Oryzias latipes: one gene and its partner. The protein of the gene in region 2 binds, or shares a complex with, the protein of the main gene of each other region. Links are inferred from orthologs where the notes say so. Each region holds a gene or a part of one and is shown on either strand. Other genes may lie near its edges.

Region 1 (3,816 bases), on a different chromosome or scaffold from region 2:
AAAGATCATCGGCATCAGTCAACATGTTTGAAAAATGAAATGTAAAACTGGAGTGTGTCTGGGTCGAGTTGACCCGTGCAGATTTTAAAAAATAAAGGTCCCATGAAGAAATTCCATTGTTGAAGTTCTGCGTGGGTCCAGGTTCTGTACAGAAGGAAGAGGCAGAACTCACTGTCTTCTCCTGGACAAGGCATCCCCGGCTTCTCTGGGATACACGGGAACACTGGAAGGAAACAAACGGCCTTCAAATGAGGAATAAATCACCAAAGAAATCAGCTGATCCGACCAGAATCGGATCGGAGAGACGGGATTTCAGCAGAAGATTCACGTCCTGAAGAGGAACGGACCGATGAGTCAGAGAACCCAACGACCTCTGTCAGGAGCAGACCTGGCAACCCGCCGCCTGCACCCCCTCCAGCCCCAGCCTCCTCCCCAGTCAGAATGACATCTATTGACCCGTCACCCTTAAACTGATTAGAGCTTTAGTGAGCCCGCCCCCTCGGGGTCACATGTTTACACAAACACAGCCCAACGTTTAGAGTGAACCCCGACCTCCAAGCTCCTCAACATTCGGAACAGGGTTAGGCTGGACGGGGAGCACAGGGGGGGCAGACGTTCACAGAGGAAGTGCTGCTGTTTCACGGGTCGCTGAAGCTCTAGCCGTATGCCCTGATGCCCCCCCCCCCAGGCTATGCAGGAGAGCCACAGAGGAAAACGGCCGGTCAGCCTCTGCCGACAGTCTGGCTCTTTTCCGTTAAACTGATAACTGAGATGATCACAGAAACGGAAGCATAAATGTATAAATAAAAGATGCTTTGGGGGATTTTGTTTGGACAAATTTTTTTACGAATTTGTTGTTGGTAAATAAAGCAGAAACATTTTAAATCAAATAAAAGTATGATGACAGTGTGCTGTCACTCATGTTCATCCTCAGTGAAGAAAATGTAAAGTGTGGCTTTTATTATGAAGAGGAAAGAATACTTTAATGCAGATTAAACAAACAAATAAACATTCATGAAGCCTAAAGGGAACGCCGCCCGCTGTTGTACGAGCCTAACGGAGGGAAAACATGAGTGACAGCCAGAGCTGATGATGTGCTTTGACAAAGCTCGTCAAACAGGATTCTTAGCCTGAGGTTTCATGAGCTGCAGCTTAATGAGCAGAAATGGAGCATGCAAAGGAGCAGACGGTGTGGCTTGTAAAGCAGCAGCCAGCGGGACGCTGAGCGGACCGACAGGCTCCTCTGAGGCTGAACGAGTCCTGGTCGCAGAGGGGCAGCTCGGTTCCACTGAAACCAGAAAATATTCTGTCGCCGGTTCCCTCATTGATGGTGAAACCACTAAACTGTGAGAAATCGGCTTCCTTCTAGAAATACAAAGATCAAGAAGTGCAGGAATGACGCTTACAGTAAGACACAAACACCAGTGGAAACATGGCGGTGGACGGATGATGATTTGGGCTCAGAGGGACTGCTTCTGTTTATAACCATTTACTTCAGACAGACATGGCTCCAGCTGCACAGCCCAAAACAGCAGATCAACAACCAAATGCTCCATCCATCCATCTTTCATCCATCCATCCATCCATCCATCCATCCATCCATCATCCATCCATCCATCCATCCTCTTCAGCTTATCCGGGACCGGGTCGCGGGGGCAGCAGTCTAAGCATAGTTGCCCAGACTTCCCTCTCCCCGGCCACTTCCTCCAGCTCCTCTTCCCTGGGGCTTCCGCCCAGTGGGACATGCCCGGAACACCTCCCCAGGGAGGCGTCCAGGAGGCATCCAGACCAGATGCCCGAGCCCCCTCTGGATGCGGAGGGGAAGCGGTTCTACTCACAGCTCTCCTCCCCCTTTCTTTAAAGGAGCGCTCAGCCCCCCTATGGAGGAAGCTCATTTCAGCCGCTTGTATTCAGGACCTGGTTCTTTGGGTCATGACCCAGAGCTCATGACCGTAGGTGAGAACTGGAACGGAGATCAACCGGTAAATGGAGAGCTTTGCTTTCTCTTCACCACAACGGCCCGGTACAGCGACCGCATAACGATGGACGCTGCCCCGATCCACCTGTCACTCTCACGCTCCGGTCTCCCCTCACCCCAAGATATCTAAACTCCTCCACCTGGGGCAGAAACACTCCACCCACAGAGAGATGGCAAACTACCTTTCTCCAGTCAAGGAACATGGCCTCAGATTTAGCAGTGCTGACCCTCATCCCAGACGCTTCACACAACCAAATGTTGTGGTTTTTAAATCCAAAGATAAAAAGAGCAGAAACTAAAGAACGTCAAAGAACTGATGCTACTTCTGAGGAATAAAGGAGTTTGGATGAAGGATGGTCTCAGACAGATGTGAAAGAGGAGGCTCTGTTGGTAATAATCTGTTTGCTCACCGTGAATAATGAGCTCCGAGTCTTTGTTGAGCTCATAGAGACGCAGAGCTTCCTCCAGTTCCAGCTGAGAAGACACGGTGCAGGGGTCACCTGGAACGACAGAGACCGTCACAACAAGAACATGGAGGGGTTTAGGTCAAAGGTTAGGTTAAAGCCTTCTCAGTTGTCTTTAATGATGATGATTCTGTTTTGAGCCAAAATCCAAAATTCTGTTATTTGGTAAGACATAGTTTCTGCAGAGCAGCAAGAGTTCATCAGAAATCTACTTCAGAGTTGTGGGCGGAACTCTTGGCGTGGAAGAAAGCCTCTTTTAATATCCCATCATCCCTTTGTTTTCATGCTGTCCAACTAGCTTACAGCCCCTCTCACCCCCAACCTAACATTAGCGGTGCAACAAAAAAAGCAGCAACATCAGATCCGTCCATCCATCCGGTTCTGATCCAGATTCCAGCTCAGACCAGGAAAACTGAGACGTTCATGGATCTGTTGGTCTGCAGGTGGAGGATCAGAAAGGGGCGGAGCAGGGAGACTGTGGCCCCGCCCAGCATATTTTCTACGCCACAAAAACGATAATTTTAAACGGCATTTGTCCTCTGTTCCTTATATGCAGAGATTTGAATAAAGAAATCCTCAGAAATGCAGTTTAGAGCTTCATTTTCTTTACAAATATCCTCCACCATTAGAAAAATGCTGCAAGAAAACGTTAGACACCAAAACCACCATCTCCAACATGGAGGGTCTCTAGTAGAACCAGGAAGTGCAGCTCTCCTGTCGCTCCTAAAACACCCCCCATTCTTAATCCCACCCTCTCTTTTTTTCTTTTACAACCCCCCCCCCCCACACGCACACACACACACACGCACTTTTCCCCATCTCCCTTCCCTCTATAATATATATATATATATATATATATATATATATATATATATATATATATATATATATATATATATATATATATATATATATATATATATATATATATATATATATATATATATATATATTTTTTTTAAACATAAAATGTAATAAATAAATGAAAATGTTAAAAAACCCAAAAGGGGTTTATACAAATACACACCCCAGCCACTGAAGACCCAAACCCTTTATTGTGATTGTAAACCTGTCCAACACAAAAGGCCTTCAGCTCTCATCTGTTTGCTCAGTTGTTGGACAGAACAAGCTTTGAAAGAAAAAAAACATCCTATTTGTGGCATCACAGATAATCTGGAGCGTAAACTTCAGACAAATCTGGTTCCTCCAAAAAGAAAATCTTTCTTTTGTAGTGTCTGAGTTTGCAAATATCTAGAAGTTAACCAGAGGCACTTCCTGGACTTATTCTGGTGATGGAACCATTTATGACATTGATGAGGCTTTTTGATTCAGTCCCACTTTTGCTTTCGACACAGCAGGTAGCTTATCTGCTGC
Region 2 (4,317 bases):
TTTAAATAAAAACAAGATACAATTGCAAGTTTAAGCTTAATTGTTTACTATTATACATCTTCAATCCTACCAAAAAGCCCACAATAGCATATTTTCAGGATTTTTATTAGAAATGAGTATGAAATCCACCAAGATTTTCATCAGAATGGGTCTTTAATGCTTTTATTGATAACAGTCCTAACTTTTAAAAGGACTTTTACCATCCAAAAATGCATGGATTTCTTAATTACAGCCTGCAAAAGAAAAAAATTACTTGCTAAATAAACTACTAGTGTGATAAAAAGAAAATAGAAATACAGTTAACTGCTCTTTAGATGAAAACAAGTCATAAAGCTCAGCCAAGAAAGCTTTATTGCAATTCTTCTTAAATCTGTTTTTGTAAGGCATAATGAAAATAAACCTTCTTGATCTGCGGCTATAAATTGTTTTACATCAAAAGGATAGGGACTCTTTCACATCAGAAAAGCTAAGCGGGTGGAGATCAGCAGAAACCTTTTGCATTCGCTTTTACATTTTGCAGTCACAGTTCCAACAGCAGTTTGAATGAACCCTGAGTTTGATCACAAGAAAAGCACAAAGAAGAATTCCAAAAAGCCTGGCTACTCTTCTGACAATCACAACAATAAGCCACTACAGTTTATCACTACACCAAGTTTACCGACAACATTTTTTACAATTTGTGATGATTTCCTTTCTGATAGATAATCAGTCTGTAATCACTGTAGTGAACCTGAAGCCTTGTGTTCATGTAAAGAACAGCTTGTTTATTTGGTATTCACCAGAGTTCAAATAAGCTTGAAACACCTGCCAAAGAGGACTGTGAACCAAAAGGTTCAGTGTGAACGTGCCCTGAATCACTGCAAAGATCTGTAGATCATTGGCAGGTGGGGGAAGATCTGTGAAAGCAGAGATCTTCAGCGTTCTGTTCATTCTGTATGGATGATTGTTTTGATAATAACATTTAAACAATTTAAACAGATGGAAACAAGTCACTTTGAAATAAGTTATAAAAATTATCTAAAACTTTTAAGACTTGGAAATTTCATACTCATTGCTTATAAATAAAATCCTGAAAATTTCACAATTTGAAAGCAATTCTTTCAAGAAAAAAAATGAACACATTTAGCTTTATATCAGAGAAGAAAATTGTAAAAAGTAGTGTTAAGCAAGGCAGCAAATTTAAAGACCGACTGAAGACATTTGGTATGTGGGCAACAATTTCCAAGAGAATTCCTCTGAATCAATGACTAAGGACATTTCAAAGGAGTTTTGCAAATGCTAGCGCTTGTAAAACATCATGTGATTTCTTTTGGTCAGGGATGAATAAAGTGGAATTGTGTTGCTTAAAAGTTTAGCCTTGTTGTCTACAGGTTTTGGCAGGAAAATCCCATTCCCACTGTCAAGCAAAGTGGTGATAATGTGGGCTTCTCCTCTGCTACCAACAATTCATTTTTCTCAGCTGAAGTTAGCAGGAAATTAGTTCATCCAGCAGGACGATACCCCACAGACAAAATCCAAGATTTGCTCTGGAATAGTCCACGGCCAGATTTCTGTCAGCTGGGGTGCTGTGGTGGGGCATTAGCAACGATCAGTGTCACGTTTTCCTGTGCAATTGCCTTTCGAAACCAAATGTTTGAACAGGCCCCCTCTGCACAAGATAGTGGCCTCATCTCACAGCAACACAGGGCTAGAACTCTGCAAAATGGGGTCTGTTATAGTGAGCTTTAACAGACCACTGGGCAGAATTCCTGATTGCAAAACAGCAAGCTGGTTAAGAAATATAATAAAAACCAATTTACAGAAGACAAGAGACTTTTTAAGCCTAATTCAAGGTTGCAGATATGGCCAAAATAGACAATGTAGCTCCAAGTTAGATTGGATTTAAATAAAATGAAATAAAAAGAGATTTAAAGATAAGTCTAACATCAGCAGACATCCAACTGACTCTGAGCACCGATTCATATTCATGTGAGAGTGGTACATAATTTTCTTTTGCATGAAACCTGAACCTGAACAAGCTGCAACTATGAGAAAAGTCGTCACTACATTGATCAGTTCAAAAATATGGGTCAGAATAATTAGGGTTCAAATTCAAACTTTATTTATAAAGTCCTTTTCATACAGAAGCAACGCAAAGTTATTTACAGTTTTAAGATGCATCTCCCTTCAGAGTTATCGTGTTGTTTATACTGGTTAGTTACATGAAAGTGGTTTCTATTGTTTTGTTTTCTGTCCTCATCTGAATGCAGAGCCACGCCGTGAAATCATCTCAACAAAAAGCGCATCTGAGTCTGACTCCAGTCTCCAGCTTTTCCCCCAGCGACCCGAAGTCCTTCCCGGCTAATTGAGTCTCTCCGTGGACAGAAAGGCGAACGAAGACAAGCGGATAAGCCGCTTTACTTCCCAGTTTCGTTGAGGTTCGCTTATTTTGATTATTCTAGCCGTGTTTTAGTTGCGGGGCACAACGAAAGATTTCGCGTGCACCTCACCCTCCAGTCCCGTTACTTTACCTTTTTGAAGGCGAAAAGCTCCTGTTTTATTTTCTCCCTCTGCGGGTCGGTGCTCTGCCGACGAAACCTGAACTTCATCATCTTTAAGCGGATACGGAGGATCCAACTCCAGTCGGGACGCAGATGGCGCTGGGTGGGATAAGAACCCCGGAGTTCTCGGCGGCGGGAAGGCGGAGGCAGGCGATGCTATGCTAGCTAATGGACAAGCCCAACAGACCAAACGTGGGGCTACAGCTGTAGCTGCCGCGGAGACGGCGACGAGTCTTTTCTCTCCTCCTCTCCCCCTTGTGCTGCTTTGGTCGCGGTGGGGTTTGACCACAACCCCCTCCTCTTCCCGGTTCTCACGAACCCCTTTTTGTTAACCAATGAAGGGAACGATAAGCGCTGGAAACCGCAAGGAAACGCCTCCTACAACCGAGCACTTGTTTTGTCACACAGAATGCACCGATTGAGCGGGACAGCCACACAACCTCACCTGGTGATGGGAAGCGGTCTGTCTTTATGAATAAATCAAACTACTTCAAAACAAAAAAATGAAAACTTTCAAAGACCGATTCTGATGAAAATTGTATTTTTTACATGTCCATAAGACATATTTTCTGACGATGGAAGACATATATCAAGAAAATAAAGCTTAATAATGTGATTCTAAGTTTTTCTCGGTCTTCTACTGATTCAAATCTAGTCAGAAGACTTTAAATTATTGGGGCAAGCCACAGGCTCCTTTGCTCAGCTCCATTCTGATGCATCCACTTGTAGACAAAGACATCCATGTACGTCTTAGTGTTCTTTGTCTGAGCTGGCATCAAGCTCAAAACTGTATGTCTGGATAGCTATGACAATGCTCGCCCTTTTTGTTGCACTGATAATGTTAGATTGGGTTTGTGAGGTGCTGTAAACTTGCAGGACATTGTAAACCGATGGATGATGGGAGATGGAGGTGGATTCACTCAGTGCCACAACTGAAAGGTGAATTTCTAATGAATTCCAGCCATTCTGCAGAAACTATGTCCTAGAAAACAACACAGGATTTTTTATTTGCCTAAAGACAGCATACCTCTAATTAAAAGACCACTGGGAATGCTTTTACAATAGATCAAAAGATTATCAGAGTGGGACTATATAATAACATAGTGGGTTAAATATGTGGACTAAAAAAATAAAACAAATCTTTATTTATGCTATTTTTTTAATTATACATCCAGTTGTTTAAATTTAACTGAATACGCACATCATATGGTGTTGTAAAAAAGGCGTGGGATCAGACAAGATTTCTCTTCAACCCACTCTTCACTCACTTTTCAAGCACACTGTTTAGCTTTATTTGTCTATTTTAAACTACTGTGTTTATTTTTCATTTGTGTTTGAAATAAAGAAACTGACACTGAAAACAGAATTTTTGTTCAAAATACACATATGTGTGTGCACAAAATAAAATTAAGGCACATTGTAAGTTTGTAATAATCACCTTTAATGTTCAGCATTATGTCTACAAATTAATTTATAAACAATAGTTTTTAATCAAGATGCATAGCTAAAAGTGTAGTTTGAGCAAACCATTTAGTATTCTGGCCAAAGTCCTCTTTAAGATTATTTTTTATGAGCACTTTGTCCTTAATTTAACAGAAAAGAGCATAAGAATATCATTAAAAGTTGCTTAAATTGTGTGCAGTTTGTGAATGTGGTTGTGGTCAAACCTTTGGGGTAAGACATGTAGTTTCTGAGTCATTTCCCCCCCTCAGTCATTTTACAGTACTTGCAACAAAGGCTGCTATGTGAGAATAACTACATCAACACATGAATAATA

The links.
Region 1: the proteins of llgl1 (region 2) and prkci are in contact, whole or in part, in a cryo-EM structure (PDB 8R3Y), measured with the Homo sapiens proteins. The link is inferred for Oryzias latipes from reciprocal best matches to the Homo sapiens genes LLGL1 and PRKCI. Residues at the interface, in NP_004131.4 of Homo sapiens: Ala315, Asp319, Glu367, His391, Ser392, Ala394, Thr396, Glu453, Cys483, Glu484, His485, Phe506, Asp507, Pro508, Tyr509, Ser510, Asp511, Pro513, Gln518, Lys519, Lys569, Ala600, Val601, Thr602, Leu644, Gly648, Pro649, Leu650, Ser651, Arg652; in NP_002731.4 of Homo sapiens: Asp339, Met341, Gln345, Arg348, Leu381, Asp382, Met399, Thr412, Phe413, Cys414, Pro417, Leu425, Glu445, Gly449, Arg450, Ser451, Gly457, Ser458, Ser459, Asp460, Asn461, Pro462, Asp463, Asn465, Thr466, Glu467, Asp468, Tyr469, Leu470, Phe471.

Annotation. Positions count from the first base shown.
Region 1 is NC_019875.2:30,180,475-30,184,290, forward strand, and holds part of prkci (protein kinase C iota type), read right to left. Parts: intron 2,479-3,816; coding exon 2,389-2,478; intron 224-2,388; coding exon 173-223; intron 1-172.
Region 2 is NC_019866.2:18,034,825-18,039,141, reverse strand, and holds the start of llgl1 (lethal(2) giant larvae protein homolog 1), read right to left. Parts: upstream 2,927-4,317; 5' UTR 2,592-2,926; coding exon 2,511-2,591; intron 1-2,510. UniProt on the Homo sapiens protein: Cortical cytoskeleton protein found in a complex involved in maintaining cell polarity and epithelial integrity. Involved in the regulation of mitotic spindle orientation, proliferation, differentiation and tissue organization of neuroepithelial cells.